Pelodiscus sinensis: one gene and its partner. The protein of the gene in region 2 purifies or fractionates together with the protein of the main gene of each other region. This does not show direct contact. Links are inferred from orthologs where the notes say so. Each region holds a gene or a part of one and is shown on either strand. Other genes may lie near its edges.

Region 1 (7,058 bases), on a different chromosome or scaffold from region 2:
AATAAAACATGGATTCCTTTTGCCCGGGATTACTGCGCGTGCGCTGCGGGGAAAGAAAGCTGCGCTCTAGCAGCACAGTGCGCAGGTGCGATCTGACCGCATACAAAGGGAAAGAGACCGAGGCCGCAACAACTCTTCTAAAGTGGGGGAGGACGTTGCTCGTAGGGACTTCAACTCCCGAGGGCCCAGAGAAGGACGCGCGCTGCATGCTGGGAGACGTAGTCTGAGACCGCTGCAACGTGAGTACGAGACGTATTAAAGGGCGGAGCTCTGAAAGGGAGTAACTCACCTCAGCTGGGGGCCGACGGGACCGTTTTCCTAGTTGGTTAGCAACGAGCTCCCACACGGGTTGAGGTTAGAAGGGGCGGTGGGTGCCGCAAAGCCGTGTGGGAATCGTAGTTCCGCTAAGAGCTGCCGCCCGCTGTGGGGGATGGGACGGCGAACGACACGGAACTACGGCTCCCGAGCGCTGTTGGAAGCGGCGAAGCCGGGAGGGAAAGGCTGGGTCCTCACACGCTGACTCGGGACAGGGAAGCGGAGCCCGTGCGGTGTCGCCTGGCGCTGAGAGACGCGGACCTTGTCCGTATGCGGGAAGCCCGGGAAGAGTCCGACCTGGAGCGGTATCAGAAAAGCCTGCGAGGTGAGCGGGATCCCCGTCCCAGCGCCGCCTGCCCCCTTCTTCTGGCAGTGCCAGCTCCCCGCGAGCTGAGTGGTTTCTCGCCGTGCCCACTGTCCCCCACTACTGGCTGCCCCAGCTCCTCTCGCCGCACGGCCCGCCTGGCTGCTGGCACCGTGGCCACTAGTGTGCGTGCGACCCCTTTTCTTGCCGCTGCCCCACCGCCACAATTGGCTACGTGGCTTCTTTGCCTGAGGCTGCGCCGTTTTCTCCACCTCTCTGCTCACCACGTCTGCTAAAAATTGAACTGGAGAAGGGTAGACTGGTGCCGACACCCCTTTATACTGTTCTAACCATCCCAGCCTGTTGAGCCAAGTGAACCAGATTATGATCTCCCCGGTGACTGAACCCGTTGCTGTCAGAACTCTACCCACCCTGTGCCCCTAGCACCAAACTTCCACCCCGGTCCCCCTTACTCTCTAATTTTGGCAAAGAGAGCTCTAAATCAGCTGTTTACCTGACAGCTTCTCCCCTGGAGGGGGGAAGAGGAGAGAGAATGAAGGGAAGGGAACCTAGAGGGGCAGGAAGAGGGTATGTGGGGGCTCCCCATGTAGCCTTGCCCCATGTAGCCATTACAATTTTGGCTGGGAACATGGGGGGGGGGGGGTAGTGCATCTTCAGAGCACTACCTGTGGCTTTTCCTTTTCCCTTCCCTCCCTCCCCCCCCACTATAGAAGCTCTAGTAGCACCAAACCCCAGACCAAAGTCATAGTTGACAGTAAATTCACCAGTGCATTTGCTCTCACTTGCTAAGGAGCCTTGACAACCTGAGCATCTGCACTGTATGAGGCACAGAGTCACTGCAATATGACCCAGCTGTAGCCGAGGACCCCATTTTAATAGGGTCTCCATGCTGGCATTCAACATGTTGGGACTCAGGGCCGAAGCTAAGCCTGAGCCCCCTGCCCAGAGCTGAAACTTTTGGAGAAGCCCCTGTCCGTGGCAGTCCCCCCACAACCACAGTGGGTCCGGAGCAGCCCACTATTCCAGCCCCACCAGTTAACTGGTTAAGCCTAGACATGTCAATGAGTAGTTGACTATAGAATTAATTGATAAGCCTAGGCTTTTCAGTTCATCTTGACTACTCACATTCTCTCCCTCCCCCACTGCCTCTATCACAGGCAGCTGGGGTGGAGAGCTAGCTTGAAAGCCAGTCCCACCCTCCAGCACCAGCTCTGCGATGCCACCTTCCCCTTACCACTCCCCCTCCCCCATGTGCTGCTGCCTGAGACACAGCGGCATAAGGGAATAGGGGAGGCTGCTGTGAAGGAGCCCCTGTCCACAGGGGGATGGAGGCTGCTCTGCGTTCCGCGAAGCAGCTTCTGTCTGCAGCGGCCCAAGGTGGCTGTGGACAGAGGCTGCTTTATGGCAGCAGCCCACGTCCACAGGGAGCTTGGAAAGGGGCTGCTGCTGGACCAGCCTCTGGCCAGCTGACTGCCACAGACAAGTTGCTTCATGGTAGCCTCCTTTTCAGTTCCTAGCCTCTCTTCTCCCCCTCCCCCCTGCAGCAGCCTCTGTCCACTGAGAGGTTGGACCCCCGAAGTCAGGGACTACTGCTGTGTTATCCTATGCTACTGCCTTTGATACGGAGGCAGCAGCGCATGGTGGCAGGGGGCTCCCAGGAGCCACCCCTCAGGACTATAGAATAGATCTAACCAAAAAGTTTATGTTGTTACACAGCTATTCAATTACCCAATATCTAACCTCCCTTGTTAAACCTTCACATAACCCAGCTTGTGAGCTGTGACTGAGCCAGGCTGCCTGCCTGCCAGCCCAGCGCCTAATACATTTTAAACACAGAGTTGCAGTGAGGTAGGTCCCAGACACTGCAAGCTGGGACTGAGCACGGCTGCTGGCTAGCCCACTAAAAAAAAAAAAAAAAAGTACTGGCAGAAGGGGGAGGTAGGGGAAGTGCATGTAATCCATAGCATTAACCAATGAGCTTTTGCTTATCGGTTAATTACACCATTACTTCCCTAGTCGCACTTTTTTGGGCCTACCTGCTGGAACCCACAGCATCTCCTCTTGATATGCGTGGTAGGCATGGATCCTCAAGTTGGTAGGGAAAATAAGGAGAGAATGTGGAAACGGTTTGTGGTCCCACCCATGGATTTAAGGCGCTCACTCAGGAGAGGCTGGCACTTGCCCCAGCAGCAGCAACTAGGGTCTGGTGGTGCTGAAACGAACCCTGTGGTAGGGTCAGTCCTACTTCGGGCTCCCAGGCCCCTGTTCTGCCCATTATCCTACAGTTTAGTGGACATGGTACAAGTCCCACTTGCCTTTTCTGAGCATTTGGCCTTCTGTCCTTTGGCAAAACAAAGGGGTGTTGAGGCCGATGCCCTCAGCCAGTCAGGCTGAGTAAACAGTCCTCCTCAGCCACCAACTGAAGTTTCTGGCCATCTAGAAGGAAGGAAGCTTCCAAACACTCCCTGTTGGAGCCTGCCACCTCCTCCTGCAGCCCTTAGCAGTGTTGATGGTGTTCTGCTCAGCTCCTCTGATTTGCCTATCAGCTGTTAGCTCCTTTCCACCTCCACTCTCCAAACTTTTTCTCCACTCTCTTCCACCCTCCCTCACAGGAAAGGTTTTTAAAGAGGTCCTGTGGCAGCCTGAAATCAGTTCACCTGCCCCTTAATTGATTTAGAGCAGCCCTGTCTCAGCTGCCCCTGATTATCCAGGGCTGTTGCTTATTTCCCCCCCCCCCAGCTGCCTCTCCCCCCTTCCATCAAGCCCTTGTACAAACATAGGCAGCAGCATGGGGTGGCAGCCCAGGGAGTGGGGCTAGAACACACTGGCTGCTGGCACTGCCCCTGGAACTATAGGATAGTTGACTAAGACTTCATGGGGTTAGTCAACTATTCTGTTACCTGCTATCTAACATCCCTGGTACTGGGCCCTCTTTCTCCACTGTATGAATGTGCTTGTACTGGTAAAGCTTACTGCCATATGGGAAGGCAATTAAGCTAAAATGGTATAAGGTACAGTAAAACTCCAGGGCTACGTCTACACTGGCCCCTTTTCCGGAAGGGGCATGTTAATTTCAGCTGTCGTAATAGGGAAATCCGCGGGGGATTTAAATATCCCCCGTGGCATTTAAATAAAAATGTCCGCCGCTTTTTTCCGGCTTTTAGAAAAGCCGGAAAAGAGCGTTTACACTGGCCCCGATCCTCCGGAAAAAAAGCCCTTTTCCGGAGGATCTTATTCCTACTTTGAAGTAGGAATAAGATCCTCCGGAAAAGGGCGCTTTTTCCGGAGGATCGGGGCCAGTGTAGACGCTCTTTTCCGGCTTTTCTAAAAGCCGGAAAAAAGCGGCGGACATTTTTATTTAAATGCCACGGGGGATATTTAAATCCCCCGCGCATTTCCCTATTGCGATTTCAAAAATTACCATGTCCCTTCTGGAAAAGGGGCCAATGTAGACATAGCCCAGGGCTGTGTCTAGACTGGCAAGTTTTTCCGGAAAATCAGCAGCTTTTCCGGAAAAACTTGCCAGCTGTCTACACTGGCCGCTTGAATTTCTGGAAAAGCACTGACGATCTCATGTAAGATCGTCAGTGCTTTCCCGGAAATACTATGCTGCTCCCGTTCGGGCAAAAGTCTTTTTCCGAAAGACTTTTGCGCAAAAGGGCCAGTGTAGACAGCACAGTACTGTTTTCCGCAAAAAAGCCCCGATCGCGAAAATGGCGATCGGGGCTTTTTTGCGGAAAAGCGCGTCTAGATTGGCCACGGATGCTTTTCCGCAAAAAGTGGCAGGATGCTTTTCTGCGAAAGCAATCTAGATGCACTTTTCCAAAAATGCTTTTAACGGAAAACTTTTCCGTTAAAAGCATTTTTGGAAAATCATGGCAGTGTAGACTTAGTCCGGCATCGCATTGTATGGCGCTCCCGATAGTCTTACATCAAAATGAGAAGAGCCTAGTGAGTGATCTTCGGCAAAAAACAAGTCACAAGGCAGCAGCGGCAGCAGCTGAACCGAGCAAAACCGGACGGGACTGAATCAGTCTGCCACTGGTATTGTGTGATGCTGAACAGTGCTTGTGCTACAATAAAAAGGGTTAAAAACACTTTATATACAGTATATACTGTGTGTATATATATAACCATCTTATAGTACCTCCTGAGAGTCCGGGATATCTGATAATCCGGCACCACCTAGGTCCCAAAGGTTCCGGATTATCGGAAGTCTACTATATCTTGATATAGATTGGACTTCACTGGTCTGGCACCCTCGGGACTTGACTGGCCCCAAGCAAGGGGATTTGATGGAACAGAGAATATCACCCCCCTCATGGCCTGTGTTGCCACTGGGCTAGGTGCTACCCCACCCTGGAACTCTCTAGATGACAGGGGGTGAGGTGCTGGAGTTATTTTTTCATACTAGCATTTAAAATGAGGAATGTTGAAATCAAAAGAAAATGATCTGTTTGATGCAGCATTTAAACTTGAATTTGTTGAATATGCAAAGGAAACAATAATTGTGCTGCTATTCAAAAATTCTGCATCAATGAGAAGCAGGTAGGAGAATGGTGAAAAAATAAAGCAACACTAAAAAACATACCAAGAAGCAAGAAAAAATGTCCAACAAGGTTTGCTTCATTTCTTGGGCTGGAAAAGTCGCAACGATTGGGTTGTTGAATGATGACAAAATGCGTACCTTGTCACTAGAACTGGAATTTGTCTGTGTGCTCTCCAAATGTCAAAAGATGACACACGAGTCAGAAAAGCCATAGGTGTTTGTCACATCAACAGTTTGGCATACTAGCTTCGTGAACTGTCAAGGTCTCTATCTTCAGCAATAAACAAAGATAGCACAAAAGCTGCTGAGAGACCAGGAAGAAAAAAATTGAATCTTTCCGAAGATTTATTATAAAATATCAAAAGGAATATGAATCGGAGTTGTCACAAATAGGAAATATGGATGAAACATTGATGACATTTGATCTTCTGAGCAAAAGAAGAGTAACTAGTGTTGGTGAAAAAACAGTCTTAATTAAAACCACTGGCCATGAAAAATAATCCATTTTTACAGTAGTTTTATCATATATGGCCAATGGATTAAGGCTCTATTCTGTTTCTTGAAAAGAAAAACCTTGTCCAAAACGATGACATTTCATGGGGGTATCCTCATATGTGCACATGTGAAGGGATGGATGGATGAAAGTGGTACTATTGACTGTTTGGAAAAAGTGTTCAGTGATGAGAAACATTTCTCTAGAAACCTTCTATGCTTGTATGGGACATGTTCAGGGCACATAGGTTGGATAAGGTGAAGCATGTGACCAAAAAAATGAAAATTACTTGAACTGTAATACCTGCAGGTCTAACTTCTGTTCTACAATCCCTTAATGTCTGCCTGAACAATCCCTTTAAAGACCGGCTATGCAAAATGTGATCTGACTGGATGTGGTCAGGCATGGTGAAATTGACAAAAGGCGGAAATCTTATCTAGCCCAAAATTAATCTGGTTGCCCAGTGGTCAAGGATGCGTGGGAGTCCATTCTCTTAGAAATTATAGAAAAATCATTTTGGAAACGCTGCATCAGCCATATGCTTGATGGGTCAGAAGACAGTACCACATTCGCTCGTGACACAATGGAGGCTGATAAGCAATCAGGATGACATTGCTGATGACAATGCAGGAGCAGCTATGACTGAAGCTGAGTTTAATGAACTGTTTGGTAAATTGGAGACTGATTCAGAGTTTGAAAGGTTTTACAACTTTAAATGCATTAGAATATGAGATTTTAAAACATTTCTTCGAAATTAGTCCATATGAGTTCATATATGTTCAATTATTATACTTTTTTTGGTTAGATGCATTAAAATAAAAGTTCTAAAACTTATGTTTCGATTCTGACTTTTAAAATACAGGAGAAGAGGTCAGTTCCCAGCCCAGCAGGGCAAACTGTTGGCCTGTTGAGACATTTGTGTACTTGGAGCATCTGCAGGCATGGAACCTCTCAGCTCCCATTGGTTGCTGTTTGCCATTCACAGCCAATGGGTACTGCAGGAAGCAGTGTGGGCCAAGGAATGGTCTGGCAGTCATTCCCGTTGACCCAGAACAGCTAACAGCCAGAGGGAGCTGAGGAGCTCTGTTCCTGCAGATGCTCCAGGTATGTAAAACATGCTAGCGTGCCAGTGGCTTGCCCTGTTGGGCTGGAAACTGAGGTTTGCCAATCCCTCCCCCCAGTTAAAAAAAATAAAATAAAATAAAGTAGTAGCACAGATGACCCACCGCTCTTTATGGTGTGATTTTTTTTTTAACAAAAAAAATTGACTTATGATCGAGTACATAGGGTACATTATACATTTTCACCTCCTATGAAGTGTTTTTATTCTAATTTCTTTCTGATTCATTTTTAAATTTTACTTGTTTCCATCTTTT
Region 2 (8,024 bases):
CTTGAGAAGGACTAAAAGGGTGTGTCTAGACTACATGCCTCCATCGACGGGAAATGAAGCCGCGATTAAAATAATCACGGCTTCATTTAAATTTAAATGGCTGCCCCGCTCTGCCGATCAGCTGTTTGTCGGCAGATCGGGGCAGTCTGGACGCGACGCGCCGACAAAGAAGCCTTTCTTGATTGGCACAGGTAAACCTGGTTTCACGAGGCATACCTGTGCCGATCAAGAAAGGCTTCTTTGTCGGCGCGTCGCGTCCAGACTGCCCCGATCTGCCGACAAACAGCCGATCGGCAGAGCGGGGCAGCCATTTAAATTTAAATGAAGCCGCGATTATTTTAATCGCGGCTTCATTTCCCTCTGCCGATCTGGCTAATCTACATGCCTCCGTCGACGGAGGCATGTAGTCTAGACACACCCAAAGAGTCCAAAGCACCATTCGCCCTATAAGCATGACAATGAGCTATAAACAGCTTTTCAGAATAGGTCCCACTGAAGTTTACCTATTTTGCTTCATAGTTTGATTATCCTTTTCACATTCTGCTATTAACTGCTTATTGAAATCTCTCTTACATGACTAGCTTTAGAGTCTAGGGGCTGTCTGCTTTGTAGTTATTTTAAATGGCAGCAATGAATTTGATTATCCAAATTGGATCATTCAGAGTTAATCTTTAGACAACCAGCATGACACAGACACTTTTTCCCCTTGGTTGTAAACTTTTTTTCAGTACAGAATACATCTCAATGCTACAGGTTAGAATTGGGTGATAACTGCAACACAGTTCTCAAACATTCATTTCAACTATGAGTAGCTATTTAAGTCAATTATATCCAGTATACATTTAATTGCCTTTTAATTGTGATTCATTAACATCTTCAGAAAGTTTATAGGGGTATTTTGTTCTCATGAATGTTTCAGCAAGTTTGTTTGAATCCTGTATTTACATGTGAACACTGCTATTTGTGCTCCTGTTTTTACATGTGACAGAGGCAGCAAGGGGAGTGGGAAGTGACTAGAGCTTATGCTTATCGGATAGTCAACTAGTCGCTTACATCCCTAATACAAATATTTACTCTGTCTTTGCGTGCAATAAGGATGTTTATAGTCACAGAGAGCAAAGTTCCTCATATCAAAAGGCAATTATCTGTCTTACCTGTAACTACAAGAAATGACACAGTAACAAGCTCTGAAATAAATCTTTATATTAAGTAAAGATTATGAAAAAAGCTAAAATAACAGTTATGGCTGAGATGTTTATTTCAGATTTTTTGAAGTTATCAGTTTAGTTCCTTCAGTAGAAATAACTTGAATGAGGCATTTACTTTTACTGTTAAGCACACGTGGTATTTTCCCCTACAGGGTTCTAAGTGCCTGAAAATAAAGAATTATAATAAAAGTATCATCAGCCCTAGATACAGCAGCAAAACATAATTATAACTGTCAAGGTTCCTCTCACTCTCCAGAGCTTGTAAATGTCCTGGACATCACCACTGATGGACTTGGCTCACAATTGCATGAGGCTCCTCTGACTTTTATCTCTATTGAGATTGTTGGAGAGAAGATACACAGCTGAATTAGGCTCTGATACGGTAAAGCTTTATGCACATACTTAGGTTTACATACTCTGAATAATGCCACTGACATCTATGAGTAAAGCTAAGCACATATGTAAATCTTTGCAGGACTGATGCCCTAGTTTGTACATCTCAGTAATCCTCATGCTAAGGAAATCACCATTAGGCAACACTTCATTGCTAGAGATGCACTGCAAACATAGTGGGTGTGTCTAGACTGGCAAGATTTTGCGCAAAAACTTGCCAGCTGTCTACACTGGCCGCTTGAATTTGCGCAAGAGCACTGACTTTGTAATGTACAAATCTGAGCTGTCTGCACTGGCCCTTTTGCGTAAAAGGGACTTTTGCCTGAATGGGAGCAGAGTAGTATTTCCGCAAGTAGCACTGATTTCTTACAGTAGGAAGTCAGTGCTTTTGCGGAAATTCAAGCGGCCAGTGTAGACAACTGGCAAGTTTTTCCGGAAAAGCAGCTGATTTTCTGGAAAAACTGGCCAGTCTAGACACAGCCTAAGCCTATATCTCCACCACAGTGTTATTTCAGAATACACTACAAGCCTTTATTTCAAAATAATGTCAAACTGGGCGACTTCTTACCCTGACTCCTGTGACTCATTTCACAGGAGTGTAAGGGAAGTTGACTTCCTGCTGTATAGACGGTGCCTAAGGCCGAGTTAAGCTTTTTCGGACTTCAGCCACACAGTTGACGTGGCTGAAGTTGCCTAGCTTAATTCGACTTTAGCGCTGCTGCGTGGAGGGGAAAAAATCAAACACTCCTCGCTCTCCGTCTCCACCACCAAGAGCTGCTAAATCTCCCAACAGAGCCATGCTGGTAACCAGTCTCACCCACTGCAAGTCTCCCCTGTAAGCACCCGCAGCATCCCTGCCAAGGAGTGGGCAGACCCTTTTCCTTTCTGACACTTGTGCTAGTCGCTGGCATCCACGCCAGAGGCTTCGCATCCCACGGGAGGGGAAGGGAAGTCAGCCTCCACCCTGGAGAGCCGGCATAAACATCAGCAGCTCCCACACCTGCGCACTGAAGGCCTCCAGGGATCAGTCCCGGGACTGGGAGAGGCAGCTGCTGCCTTTTGACCTGGGGCAGGAAGGGGCGAGCAGCCCCCGTGCAGGGGAACAAGTCGCCCTGAAATGCCCCTGTCTGCTCCCCAGCTGGCTGAGCGCGCGGCTCCTTACCCGCTCAGCCGCCGGCTCCCCTCGGCTCGGGGCAGGCGCTCTCCGCTCCCTTGCTCCTCTCCGGGCACTGAAGTCCGGGCAGGATGCAGCCCGGAGCTGGCCCCTCCCTGCTCCCCGCCCTCGCTGCGCGAAGCTGGGAGCAGGCGTACAGCGCCCCGCGGGGCTGATCGCACCGAGACCTTCTTACCTTACTTCCGCCGCTTCTCCCGGGGTCAGAACTTCCCATTCCCCCCAAACCTTTGGGGAACGCTTGGGTGCGCTCCGATTCCATAAATTTCCCCTTCTCCCCACTCCCAAGGCTCCTGCCATCCCAATGCTGCAGGCAAGTCTGAGGAATTTCAGAGCGCCTCTTCCCAGGCGATAGAGAAGCTCGCACCCAGCAATAAGATCCTATAAACTGCTCCTCTGCGTTTCTCTCTCTCTCTCAGATCCTCCCAATGTGCCCTTAACTCGTGCCTATGGGAGACTGCTCACGACGGGTGCTCTGGCCTCAATTCCTTCAGGAATGTAGAGCCAGACGCTCCTGTAAGGTATTTACACTCCAATTTTCCATTGATCGCAAATACCTGTGAGGGTGTGGGCCTTAAAAGACCCAGAAGGGATAAAAATGAAAGGAATAGTGAGAAGAGAAAATGAGCCAGACAAGATAGTAGGTAAAAATAGGAGGGAGGAGAAAGGCTTGGTCAGAGAAACATCTTGAAGAAGCAGGGGTGCAGAGAGAAACGTTAAAATTGAAATGAGGCTGGGAAAGTTGGACAGACATACTTTAAGAGAAACAGGGATGTAAAATAATGCTGTATAGATGGGAGGCAAAATGGAGACTGGGAAGAAGAAAATAAGAGAAGGGCTGTGTCTAGACTGGCCAGTTTTTCCAGAAAATCAGCCGCTTTTCCTGAAAAACTTGCCAGCTGTCTACACTGGCCGCTTGAATTTCTGCAAAAGCACTGACCATCTCATGTAAGATTGTCAGTGTTTTTGCGGAAATACTATGCTTCTCCCGTTCGGGCAAAAGTCCTTTTGCACAAAACTTTTGCGCAAAAGGGCCAGTGTAGACAGTTCAGATTCGTTTTCCGCAAAAAAGCCCCGATCGTGAAAATGGTGATTGGGGCTTTTTTGCGGAAAAGAGCGTCTAGATTGGCAAGGACGCTTTTCTGCAAAAAGTGCTTTTGCGGAAAAGCGTCCGTGCCAATCTAGACACTCTGTTCCGAAAATGCTTTTAACAGAAAACTTTTCCGTTAAAAACATTTCCGGAAAATCATGCCAGTCTAGACATAGCCAAGTTGTTTAATGGCCTCTTTTCATGGGTGCCGGAAGTAGGGAAGTGGGGGGGTAGGGGGGGAAGGTGCTGCAGCGTGCCATGTTTTGAAATTATTTCTATCATAGGCAGGGTTTACAGTTTTGTTCCATGGCTTTCAGCCTCAGCAACCCCACTGTACAAATTGTTTCAGCACAACTGCATCTTTGAATCTGTCAGAATTCTACTTTTTTTTCTAGCACATGCAACAAAATCTGCGATTTCCAGCTTAAATGCTATATAAGAGCCCATCAGTTGCACACCACCTGTGATTTTACTCAAATGGTCCCAGTAAAATGGAGCATGTCTGTATCTGTTTGCATGATCAAAACCCCAGTGATTAGAATCATTCATGTTGCTAATAATGCCAGTACTGGGTAAAGATGTATTTTTAAACAGGAAGCAGGGAGCTGCCTTCCTGATAGAAATTTATGATGGTTGTAACATACTTTTGTTTTTAACAGGTGTATGAGTGGATATAAAAGGCTTGTCTGACTAATTTTTAATAAAAACATGTCTTGGATATGTGCCCTCTTTCTTTACGCAGTTGTGGTTTGGTTTTTTCTTTTGTAGCTTTCGGTCTGCACCACTCCCTTCTCTCCTCCTAGGCACAGAGGCTGAGTTCCACCACAGAGAGAAACCGTGCCCAGTTCCCTTTTGTGTTTGGCATGTAAATACAGGAAAGGCAGGGCAGTTTCAAAGTCTATTGTCACTGAGTTAACCAGGTGAGAGTGTAACAGCAGTGAGAAAAACCACTGGTTTTTAAATATTCAACTCTTCCCCTTTCCAAGATTATCTATTGGCAAATATAATGGTGGGCAGGGCGATTTATTTTTCACTAACAGCAATCCTACAGCTCTGGAGTGACAAATAGTCTTATTTTGTTAACATTGCTTTGTCAAGCATATATAAATAATTGAAGAAGAATAATCAAGATGCAGTGCATTTCTAGGGAATGTATTTAAAATATTTTTACCCCAAATCTATATTTAAAATATTTGAGGTGGCTGACAAAATTTTAAAAACACAATATATATATATATATACAGGCAGTCCCCGAGTTACGCGGATCCGACTTATGTCGGATCCACAGTTACGAACGGGGCCGTTCCTCTCCCTTGTCTCCAGCAGACCAGGGAGAGGAAGCAAAGCGGCGGAACACGTGGGCAGCGGACAGGGCTGTCCGCTGCCCACGCGCTCCGAGGCTTGCTCTGCTTTGCCCCCCCCCCCGTCCCCCTGGTCTGCAGACCAGGGGGACGGGGGATGGGGCAAAGCAGAGCCAAGCTGCGGAGCGCCCGGCCAGCTGACAGCCCAGACGAGTCTGGGCTGTCAGCTGATCGCGCGCTCCGCGGCTTGGCTCTGCTTGGCTCTGCTTTGCCCCCCCCCCCGTCCCCCTGGTCTGCAGACCAGGGGCACGGGGGGGGGGGGTAAAGCAGAGCCAAGCCGCGGAGCGCGCGGTCAGCTGACAGCTGTCAGCTGGCCGCGTCCTCCGCGGCTTGGCTCTGCTTTGCCCCCCCCATCCCCCTGGTCTGCAGACCAGGGGGACGGGGGGGCAAAGCAGAGCAAAGCGGCGCTGCCCGCGTGTTCCGCCGCTTTGCTCCCCGTCCCCCTGGTCCGCAGACCAGGGGGATGGGGAGCAAAGCAGAGCAAAGCCACGGAGCCCGAGGGCAGCAGGACAGCCACGGCGCGTCTGGGCTGTCCCGCTGCCCCCGTGCTCCATGGCTTTGCTCCGGACACCTGTGGTACAGCAGCTGGGGCGCTGCCAGTTGGTCCCGTAGCGCCGCTCTGGGCGCTACTGGACCAACCAGGCAGCACCCCAGCTGTTCTGCCCCAGGCGTCCTGATTCAGCCACTGCTGGTCAGATTCAGCAGCGGCTGAATCAGGACGCCTGGGGCAGAGCAGCTTGTGTGCTGCTGGGTTGGTCCAGTAGCGCCGAGGAGCGGCGGAGCTACTGGACCAACCCAGCAGCACCCTAGCTGCTCTGCCCCAGGCGTCCCCAAGTCAGCCGCTGCTGAAACTGACCAGTGGCTGACTACAGGAAGCCCCTGCCCCGGGCTTCCTGGAATCAGCCGCTGATCAGTTTCAGCAGCAGCTGGCTTGGGGATGCCTGGGGTTCTTAAGTTGAATCTGTATGTAAGTCAGAACTGGCGTCCAGATTCAGCCGCTGTTGAAACTGATCAGTTTCAGCAGCGGCTGAATCTGGAAGCCAGTTCCGACTTACATACAGATTCAACTTAAGAACAAACCTACAGTCCCTATCTTGTACGTAACCCGGGGACTGCCTGTATATATATATATATATATATATATATATATATATATATATATATATATATATACAAGTAAAATACAAGACCCTAGGGGGGGCATAATTAATAACCATCTTAGATGAAAGTGATGGCTCCAGTGTGCCCATGCGAAAAATCATTAACTCCAGTTGTCATAACTACTTCATTGCTGCCTAATATGTTAGTGAGTTGGGGCAAAATGTGATTCTATGTCCCTTTAAAGTGGTACTTAAGACTGTGACAGTTTAGTTGCATTCCACTGCAAGGAGGTCTTGCAGTGACATGAGATTAGTACTGTGTGTCTTGCTGTAGCTGAGTGCTGGGATAGGGGAAGGAGTCCAAATCTCTTTTATTGGTAGAGGTGGTTTTAATTGATCTTTATGGGGATTTTTTTTTATTGCGTGGGCCCCAGCCCTCCAGTGTGCTCCACGTAGCATAAGACCCTACCCACACACAGCTCTCGTTGCAGCATTGGCACTTGAGATTTTAAGTAACTTTCAAAGAGTTGTGTTTCAGTCTAAGCCAAGAGTGTGCATGAATACACACACCGGAAATTGTAGGATTTAATGTCTTACACATCATCCAGTCAGATGGCTTCAGTCATTTTTCCACACTCCATTTAGCTAAGAATGGGATATCTAACCAAACAGCAAAGAGGCTCTAGCATAATATTTGAAATATTTTGTGAGGATTTCTGCCTTAGGTATAATTGGATCAGTCTAGAATTGGAGGACTGTGGTAGGATCATCTAATGAATCAATATCTTAAGTCTCGAGGACTCCCACAATTTTTGAACATGACTCTTCTTAAAAGACAGCTCCTTTAAACACAAAAATATCCAGAGCAATCTTTTGTGTCCCATGTGCAGCTACTTTGGAACACATATTTCAACAGAAGCTGTAATGTAATAACTACAGCTCACACAACAAACAAGAGGCAAACACAGGAGGACTGTGAAATTCTCTAAATTAGGCTAAGAGCTCAAACTCATCTAGTGATCTTCTAGTCTGATCTCCTGAATAACAGAGGTTATAGAACTTCCCAAAAATAATTCTCAGAGCATATCTTTTAGAAAAGCAGCCAATCTGGATTTGAAAATTGTCAGTGGTGTAGAATCCACCATGGCCCATGGTAAATTGTTTCAATTATTAATTACTTTTACCACTAAAAATGTATGAAATTCCAAATTCAGGCCTCAATTTGTCTAGCTTCAACTTCCAGCCATTGGATTGTGTTATACTTTTCTCTTTTAAATTAGTGAATCCATTATTAAATATTTGTTTCCCATGTAGCTGTTTTTAGAATGAAATCAAGTCATTCCTAAACTGTCTCTTTGTTAAGGTAAATATATTGAGTTTCTTCAGTCTGTCATCATAAGGCTCATTTTCTAATACTCTAAGGTTTCAACCTTGTGTTGCTTTTTAAATCTAGCTGTCCAAAACATTCATTTCCATCTATATAAGCTATAAAATATCAGTCAAGCCCATAAATCCATTAAAAGAGGATTGAGAAATTTATATTTTGGACTGTGGCCTTCCCATCCCTTTTTATTCTACACTATTTTGATTTATTTTGCATTTTGCACAATGGACCCCAAAGAGACTTCGACTTAATTCAGTAAGATTTTACAAGGAACTTACTATATTCTTACTATATTCTCTTGCAATTAGTAACTAACA

The links. Proteins that work in one complex are often made in the same cells at the same time.
Region 1: the proteins of CCDC68 (region 2) and CEP170 purify together in Homo sapiens (co-immunoprecipitation; 3 studies listed by BioGRID and IntAct, counting the BioPlex papers as one, with this or other methods). This does not show direct contact. The link is inferred for Pelodiscus sinensis from reciprocal best matches to the Homo sapiens genes CCDC68 and CEP170.

The regions. Positions count from the first base shown.
Region 1 is NC_134713.1:131,575,426-131,582,483, forward strand, and holds the start of CEP170 (centrosomal protein of 170 kDa), read right to left. Parts: upstream 3,096-7,058; 5' UTR 2,956-3,095; intron 641-2,955; coding exon of another isoform or gene 586-640; exon of another isoform or gene 506-585; intron 394-505; exon of another isoform or gene 290-393; intron 240-289; exon of another isoform or gene 89-239; intron 1-88. Other genes in the region: SDCCAG8 (serologically defined colon cancer antigen 8), read left to right, coding at 586-640.
Region 2 is NC_134716.1:112,343,861-112,351,884, reverse strand, and holds the start of CCDC68 (coiled-coil domain-containing protein 68), read right to left. Parts: upstream 3,093-8,024; 5' UTR 3,073-3,092; coding exon 2,951-3,072; intron 2,920-2,950; exon of another isoform or gene 2,764-2,919; intron 1-2,763. UniProt on the Homo sapiens protein: Centriolar protein required for centriole subdistal appendage assembly and microtubule anchoring in interphase cells. Together with CCDC120, cooperate with subdistal appendage components ODF2, NIN and CEP170 for hierarchical subdistal appendage assembly.